2 linked regions of the Canis lupus familiaris genome follow. The protein of the gene in region 1 interacts with the protein of each later gene in a pairwise test. Links are inferred from orthologs where the notes say so. Each region holds a gene or a part of one and is shown in the gene's direction. Other genes may lie near its edges. The genes, in order: LRRC7 and NQO2.

Region 1 (4,370 bases):
CAGGAGCCCGCGGGCGCGTGTGCGCGGCTGTGCTCGCGGCGGGAGGCGGGCGGCGCGGCGGGCGGGCGGGCGGAGGGGAGCCCCGGGCGGGGCGGGGCAGGGGGTGCAGGGGGGAGGTGCAGGGGGCTGCAGGGGGGGTGCAGGGGAGGTGCAGGGGTGCAGGGGAGTGCAGGAGGTGCAGGGGGCACAGGGGAGGTGCAAGGGGTGCAAGGGAGGTGCAGAGAGGTGCAGGGGGGAGGTGCAGGGGGGTGCAGGTGAGGTGCAGGGGCTGCAAGGGAGGTGCAGGGGGGCACAGGGGGCGCAGGGCAGGTGCGGGGGCTGCAGGGTAGGTGCGGGGGGGGCGCAGGGGGGCTCGCGGGGGGGCCGCTCCGAGGGAGGACACTCGCGTCCTCGGCGGCCCGGCACCCGCGGCGGGGGCGGGGGCGGGGGCGGGGGCGGGGGCGGGGGCGGGAAGCCCGGGCGGCGCTGGGGGCCGCCTCTGCGCGGAGCGAGCGGGAGCCGCCGCCCGGCCGCCGCGTCACCGAGCCGGGGCGGGAGCGGGAGCCGGCGCGGGAGCGGGAGCGGGAGCCGGCGCGGGAGCCGGGGCGCGCGGGGAGGCGCCGAGGCCCGGAGCCGCCGCAGCCGCGCAGCCGCGCATCCGCCCAGCCGCGGGTCGCCGCGCCCCTGGGGCCCGGGCCGGCGGCGGGAGCAGCAGCGGGGGCCGGAGCGCCGCGGGCCGCCCCCACCCCCACCCCGCCCCCGCCCCCGCCCCCGGAGCACCGGCCCCGCGCGCCGCGGGCGGCGGGAGGAGCCCGCACGGCCCGGCCCTTTGTCCCGCTCGCAGCGGCGGCTCGGGCCGGAGCGCGCGGGCGGGCGCGGGTCGGGGCCCCGGCGGACTCGCATCGGAGCCCCGAGGCTTCGGGGGAGCCCGCGGGCAGGTCGCGGGGGCCGGCGAGGACGGCGGCGCGGGCCGGGGGCGGAGGACCGGGGCGCCCCCTCGGGTGGCCGCGCTCTCCTTGACGCCTCTCCCGCTCGGCGGCGGCTGCGGCGGGTGTCGTCGGAAGAGGGGGCGGGCGAGGAGCGCGGGGGCGGGGGCAGCGGAGGCTCAGCCCGCGGCCCGCGCCGCCCTCCGCGCCCGCGAGCCCCGCACCTGCGCGCCGGGGCCACCTGCCGCCGCCCGCGCCCCGCAGCGCCCCGCAGCGCCCCGCAGCGCCCCGCAGCGCCCCAGCGCCGGGCTCCCCGGGGGCCGCAGGCTGCGCACCGGGGCGCTCCGCCCGCCCAGCCCGGCCCGGCCCGGCTCATTGTGCGCCGCGCTCCTGGGGGCGGGGAGGGAGCCGCGCCGCCGCCGCCGCCGCCGCCGTGGTCGCTCGCGCGGCGCGCAGGGCGGGCGGAGGCAGGGCAGCCGAGGCGCTCGAGCCTCCCCGCCCGCCGGCGCTCGGGGCTCCCCTCGGCCGCGTTCCCCGGACCTGCCCGCTGCGCCCGGAGGGCCCCGGCACCATGGCGTGACGCGCCCCCGCGCCTCGGCCGGCCCGCGCCCCCCGCGCAGGCCCCCGCGCCAGGCCCCCGCGCCCGCGGCGCTGCGGACCCCGAGCACCCTCAGCAACCAGCCCGGGCGGCGGCACGACTCGCTCTCGCCAACCTCATGGGCAGTGGCTCCCGCCGGCGATGTGAGTAGCGCGCTCCTGCTTCGTGGCCCGGGGGGGGGGGGCGGGGGGCTGCGGGGACGCCGAGCGCCCGAGGTGCGGGGCTGGGGCGCCCCGGGGCGCTGTCGGGGAGCTGCCGGCCGGGCGCCCGCGGAGGCGGCGGGGAGCTGCGCGCTTGCGGGGCGCGCGGTGCCTTGGGCGCGGGCGCCGGCCGTGCGGGCGCCTGGGAGCCCCGGTGGCCCGGGCTGCCGGGGACCCTAAAGGGTTACATACTGCGAAAAGGGGAGGCGAGGAGCGAGGGCTGGGCGCGGGGGGCGCGGGGGGCGCGGGGAGCGCGGGTCCGGCCGGGCCGAGCCCCCGCCGTTATCCGGGCGAGGTGCTGCCTCCTCGCAGGTGCCCGAGGGACGGAGCGCCCATTTGGCCGTGCCCCCCCCCCCCCCACGCACACTTGTGGCAGGTCGCAAATGTCCCTTTATCTCGGCAGGTGTAGTATTACTGTTGGATGCCCGTTGGCTTGGGAAAGGCAATTAAGAGGATCTCGCTGCCTTTGGGACTGGAGGGGAAGGGTGGGGTTGGAGGGGGCTGGAGGGGGCGACGAGGGCGACAGGTTGGAGGGCCGAGGAAGCGGGGGAGCCACGGAGCCCGGGCAGTGGGGGTGCCTGTGCCCCCCCCCAGCCCCCGGAGCCGGGCAGCTCCTGCCCACACACCTCCTTTGTGTTGCAAAGGCGGAGCTGGAGACCCCGCGCGGTGCCCGGACCCACGCTGGGCCCCCTCCGCATCTCGTCCCCCGAGAGCCCCGAGGGATGCGGGACTCGTTGGGGATCCTCGGCGGCCGGGGGGGGGGCAGCGGGGGCAGGAGGTGCCCTGGGGCTCCTGGAGCGGCTCGCGCTCGTCTGCAGCCTCCGCGCGCGGGGTCCCCCCTGCGGGGAGCGGCCGGGGCCGGGGGCGCACGGGCTGCCGCGAAACATAGCGCGAGTTCGCAGGGGCGACGGCCGCACAGGTGCCTCCTCCGGCTGCTCCTCGGCCCGGGGCGGGGGGCGGGGGGCGGGGGGGGCGGCTCCGCCCGCCGAGTCCCGAGGGCGCAGCGCCCGGCGCACGGACCGGGTCGCTCGCGCAAGTCCCGGGATGCGCGATGGGCCTCGGAGCGCAGCCACCTGCGACTCCCACGCGCCTCTGGAAGTTCCCCTCCCCGAGGAGTTAGAGACGCCGCGGGCGGGGGCGGGGGGCGGGGCGGCGACCCCCAAGGGCCCGCACCTGCCCTCCGCGGCCACTTTGCCTCCGCGCGGGGAGCACCTGGGAGCCACCTGCGCTGCGAACTGGGTCGGACCCGACCCGGGGACCCGCGGCCGGGAGCGGTTCTACGTGATCCCGTTTTAACCTTGGCGACGCTTCCAAGCCCGGTGGAGGTTTCCGTGGCGTGGGCGGCGGGAGCGCATTCCGGCGGAGGCAGGACACGTGATCGCCCCGACGGGAGAGGCCGGTCCGGGCGCCCGACTCTCTTTGTTCCGGGCTGAGCCCCGCGCCCGCCCCCCGCAGCTCGGGCCCGCGGCCCAGGGGGGCTGGAGGGGCTGCCCCCCCGCGGGGCCCCGGTGGAAGCCAGGCGGTCCTCCCGGGGACGCGGCGGAAAAGTTCTGCAGCCCCTGCGCACGTGGGCTCCCGGCGCGCTCCGCCACCTGCCGGCCGCGCCCGGCCACCTGCCCCCACCGCCCGGGACGCCCGGGCTCGCTCTGCCAAAGGCTGCAGACGGGGGTCGGGGTCGCGTCCCTGCTTCCGAGCATCCTTCGGCGCATCCTTCAGCGCCCGGGGCGGGCTGGAGACGAGGGGGCGGGGGGGTAGCCCTAGTTCTCCGCCCACCTGTGTGTCGAGGTACCAGACCTGGAGGCCCCGACCTGGAGTCTCCGACGTGGTGGCCCCCCACCTGGAGGCCCTCACTGGGAGGTTCCCCACCTGGAGGTTGCCACCTGGAGGCTCCCCACCTGGAGGCCCTCACTTGGAGGTCCCCACCTGGAGGTCGCCACCTGGAGGCCCCCCACCTGGAGGCCCTCACTTGGAGGTCCCCACCTGGAGGTCCCCACCTGGAAGCTCCCCACCTGGAGGCCCTTACTGGGAGGTTCCCCACCTGGAGGTCCCCTGGAGGCCCCCACATGGAGGCCCCCACATGGAGGTCCTGACCTGGAGTCCCCGACGTGGTGGCCCCCACCTGGAGGCCCTCACTGGGAGGTTCCCCACCTGGAGGTTGCCACCTGGAGGCCCCCCACCTGGAGGCCCTCACTGGGAGGTTCCCCACCTTGAGGTCCCCTGGAGGCCCCCACATGGAGGTCCTGACCTGGAGTCCCCGCCGTGGTGGCCCCCACTTGAAGGCCCTCACTGGGAGGTCCCCACCTGGAGGCCCCCACCTGGAGTCCCCGACGTGGTGGCCCCCACCTGGAGGCCCCCACCTGGAGGCCCTGACCTGGATGCCCGCCCCCCTGACCTGGAGGCCCCGATCTGGGGGCCCCCCACCTGGAGGCCGCTGATTTCGTTTTTCCGCCCGTGTTGTACTTGCCGCCCCCGTGGGCTGAAGTCTCGCCCGGGGCGGGCCTGCATCGTGTCTGCGTGGCGCTGGGAAGCGCAGCCCATCCCCGTGACATATTGTGGAGGGAGACTTCTTTATACATTTTTTTATACTTCGCTGTCCAAGAGAGGATGGGTGCTTACCATGGCAACCCTTACATCCTCCATCACGTGTGCCTGCACATATGCGGCTTC
Region 2 (3,803 bases), on another chromosome or scaffold:
GGAAGACCCACAATAGCTTGGGCTTTTAAGGAAATTCGTGGTGTTATTTTTGAGGAATCATAATTTGACTCATTTTATGTTTGTATATTAGTAAACCCAGGCGATGGTGAGCTATAATTGGATTTTAGAAAACATTCATTATTTTAAAAACTATCACCCATAAAAGAGGTTGGTGTTTCTCAGCTTGAGCCTATGATGCGCCTACATGTTTCATTGTTACCTTAGTCTTCGTGGAATTTTGACAAAGAGGAATTGTTCTTTAAGAGAGTCATTTCTTTTCTGATTCAGGCAAAAAAGTCCTCATTGTCTATGCACACCAAGAACCCAAGTCTTTCAATGGATCCTTGAAGAAAGTGGCGGTGGATGAGCTCAGCAGGCAGGGCTGCGCCATCACCGTTTCCGATCTGTATGCCATGGACTTTGAGCCGAGGGCCACGAGGAAAGATGTCATAGGTGAGTCACGGGGTGAACAGTTTTTGTTTTTTTAACTTTCTTCTTTCTAGGTGTTTCATGGAAAAAAATGTTTTGAAAAAACTAACCATGGTGCATAGTACCCAGTTCTGAAGCAGAACGAGTCCACATGGCAAGTCTTTTTCGCATCCCTGTCCCCAGCCACCCAGTGTCTGCCCCCCAGGTCACCAGGGTGCTCACTTGTCTCTGTTCCTCCAGAGACATCTGTGCTGTGCAAAGCATTTGTGGGCATATCCATCCATCGTCTGTCCCCTTTGTTTGTTCAGAGTGGTAGCAGGCTTTACAGGTTGTTTTGCACATTGCAGCCGTTTTTACTATCAGAGTATTCATTTTGTGGAAGTGTCCTAGGTGAGGTGGCCCCTACTGACGGACATTCCAGGGCATTCCTGATCTTTGCTGTCACAAACAGCGCCGCAAGGAAGAATCATAGCCACACACATTTTCCTACGTATACAGATGTCACCTAGAGGTGGAATTGCTGCCAGAGGGAAGGTGCATTCTTGATTTTCATAGATAATATCAAATGGTAAATGTGCCAGTTTACACTTGGCACCAGCGATGTTCGCAAGTGCTCATTTCCTCTGCATTACCGATTTTTGATCATTGCCAGACTGTCAAGTGAAAACTGGTCTCCCAGGATAGTTTTGATTTGCCTTCCTCTTATTGTAAGAGAGCTATACTGCCTTTGTGTTTATGTAAGACGCATTTTCTTTGTTTTCCAGCTGCATTGAGACATAATTGACAAAAGTTATATATATTTAAGGTATACGACATAATGGGGTTTTTTGGGGTTTTTTTCTTTTTTTTGATTACTAGTTTCGGAGGTAGAGTTTAGTGATCCATCGATTGCATACAACACCCAGTGCTCATTACATCACGTGCCCTCCTTCATGCCCATCACCCAGGTACCCCATCCCCCACCTACCTCCCCTCCAGCGACCCTCAGTCTGTTTCCTTCTTCTGGTTTGTTTCCTTCTCTGTTTTTACCTTATTTTATTTTTCCTTCCCTTCCCTTATGTTCATCTGTTTTGTTTCTTAAATTCTACATAGTGCTATCATATGGTATCTTTCTCTGACTGACTTCTTTCACTCAGCATAATACTCTCTAGCTCCATCCGCATTGTTGCAAATGGCAAGATTTCATTCTTTTTGATGTCTGGGTAATATTCCTTACACCACATCTTCTTTATCCAGTCATCTGTTGATGGACATCTGGGCTCTTGCAATAGTTTGGGTATTGTGGACATTGCTGCTATAAACATTGGGGTGCAGGTGCCCCTTTGGATCATTATATCTGTATCTTTGGGGTAAATAACCACTTGCACAATTGCTGGGACGTAGGGCAGCTCTATTTTTAACTCTTTGAGGAACCTCCACACTGTTCTCCAGAGTGGCTGCACCAGCTTGCATTCCCAGCAACAGGGTGAGAGGGTTCCCCTTTCTCTTCCAATGTCTGTTATTTCCTGTCTTGTTAACTTTAGCCATTCTCCCTGGTGTGAGGTGGGATCTCATTGTGGTTTTGATTTGTATTTCCCTGATGCCCAGTGATGTGGAGCATTTTCTCATGTGTCTGTTGGCCGCCTGGATGTTGTTGGAGAAATGTCTGTTCATGTCTTCTGCCCGTTTCTTGACTGGATTTTTTACATGATGTTTTGAAGGCATTTTCTTAAGTATTCTTTTTGAAAAGCTAAATGCTTTTAGCTTTTCATTTATATTAATATTTTGTATTATACTTATAAATATTTATATTAGTATTTTAATAAAATATTTAATATTTTCTTTCCTGGGAATTGTCTGTGTATATCCCTTGTTTATTCTTCTCTTCTATCTCTTACTGGTTTTAAAGAGCTCTTTCTATATTAAAAAGTTAGTTTCTAGTGTGGGGTATGAATTGTGAATACATTTTTACCAAATTTATGTTTTCTTTTATTTTGACTTTGCTTATGGTGTTTGTTTGTTTTTTTTTCCATGCAGGATTTTATTTACCTAGTTGGCTTTTGATCAGTCTTTTTCTTCCATGACTTCTAGATTTTGTGTCACGCTTATCTACATTCTAAGATTTTTTTAATTTGATAGTTTTGCCTAGTATTTGACCTATTTCAAATATGACAAATTTCAAAGTATTGATAGTTTTGCCTAGTTTTTGACATATTCAATATGACAAATTTCAAAATATTTTAAAAAAATATTTTGTCTACTTAAAGTTTATTTTGGTATATGATGTGAGGTATGATTCCAGTATTTTTTCTAAGCATCTACTGAGTTGTCTCGTCACCATTTATTATATGATCCAGCTTCTCATTTAAAATGCCACCTTCATTGTGATTTAAATTCTCAGGTACATTTGATCCTGTCCTATACTTTGTATTTTGTTGTTGTTGTTGTTGTTTTTCCTATTGGCTCATGGATTCAGTACCACGTGGCTCTAATTATTTTGGCAAATGCTACAATATCTGATAGAACTAGGTCACCTAGTTTGCCTTATTTTCTATTTTTTCTAGCTAGTTTTACTTTACTTTTCTATAAAATCTTTTGAATTAACTTCCCAGATTCAAAAAGTAACCAGATGATATTTTTATTGAGATTCCATTAAATTTACAGATGAATTTTTATTATAGTGATCTTATCCAGGAGAATAGTATGGCTTTTCATTTGCTCACATCTTCTTTTACAACCCTGCAGCTCTCTTTACAAGTTTTCTTCATGCAGATCTTGCATGATTTTTGTTAATTGGTTTTGTTTCTCTAAGTCAAGAGGATTACTGTTTGCCTGTGTGCATATGTGTGTGTGTGTGTGCGCGCTCGCGCATGTGTGTGTATCCAGCCATGACTAATTTCCTCACCGTTCGTAGTAGATTTCAGCTGATTCTCTGGGGCTTTCCTGATAATGCAGCCAAATCATCTGCAAATAATGACAATTTCGCCTCAGCTTTTCCAGTATTTAATACCTTTAATTTCCTTCTGTTTGCAATTGTAGTAATGCTATCTGAAGATTTAATATTTAGTATTGATAGTAATAGCTTAACATCCCATGTCTTCGTGTCTTTCTTTTGTTTTAATAAATCAATCAACAATTTTCACTTAATGAACAACAGAGGGCAGCCCCGGTGGCGCAGCGGTTTAGTGCTGCCTGCAGCCCAGGGCATGATCCTGGAGATCCTGGCTCGAATCCCATGTCGGGCTCCCTCCATGGAGCCTGCTTCTCCCTCTGCCTGTGTCTCTGCCTCTCTCTCTCTCTCTCTCTCTCTCTGCGTCTCTGTGAATAAATAAATAAAATCTTAAAAAAAAAAAAAAGAACAACAGAGCAAGGACTAGGAAAACAGACTATTATGT

What was found.
Region 2: the proteins of LRRC7 (region 1) and NQO2 interact in a two-hybrid assay, tested with the Homo sapiens proteins (2 studies listed by BioGRID). The two-hybrid records come from large-scale screens. The link is inferred for Canis lupus familiaris from reciprocal best matches to the Homo sapiens genes LRRC7 and NQO2.

The regions. Positions count from the first base shown.
Region 1 is NC_049227.1:76,610,090-76,614,459, reverse strand, and holds the start of LRRC7 (leucine-rich repeat-containing protein 7), read left to right. Parts: upstream 1-1,539; 5' UTR 1,540-1,644; coding exon 1,645-1,646; intron 1,647-4,370.
Region 2 is NC_049256.1:4,587,026-4,590,828, forward strand, and holds part of NQO2 (ribosyldihydronicotinamide dehydrogenase [quinone]), read left to right. Parts: intron 1-288; coding exon 289-453; intron 454-3,803. UniProt on the Homo sapiens protein: The enzyme apparently serves as a quinone reductase in connection with conjugation reactions of hydroquinones involved in detoxification pathways as well as in biosynthetic processes such as the vitamin K-dependent gamma-carboxylation of glutamate residues in prothrombin synthesis.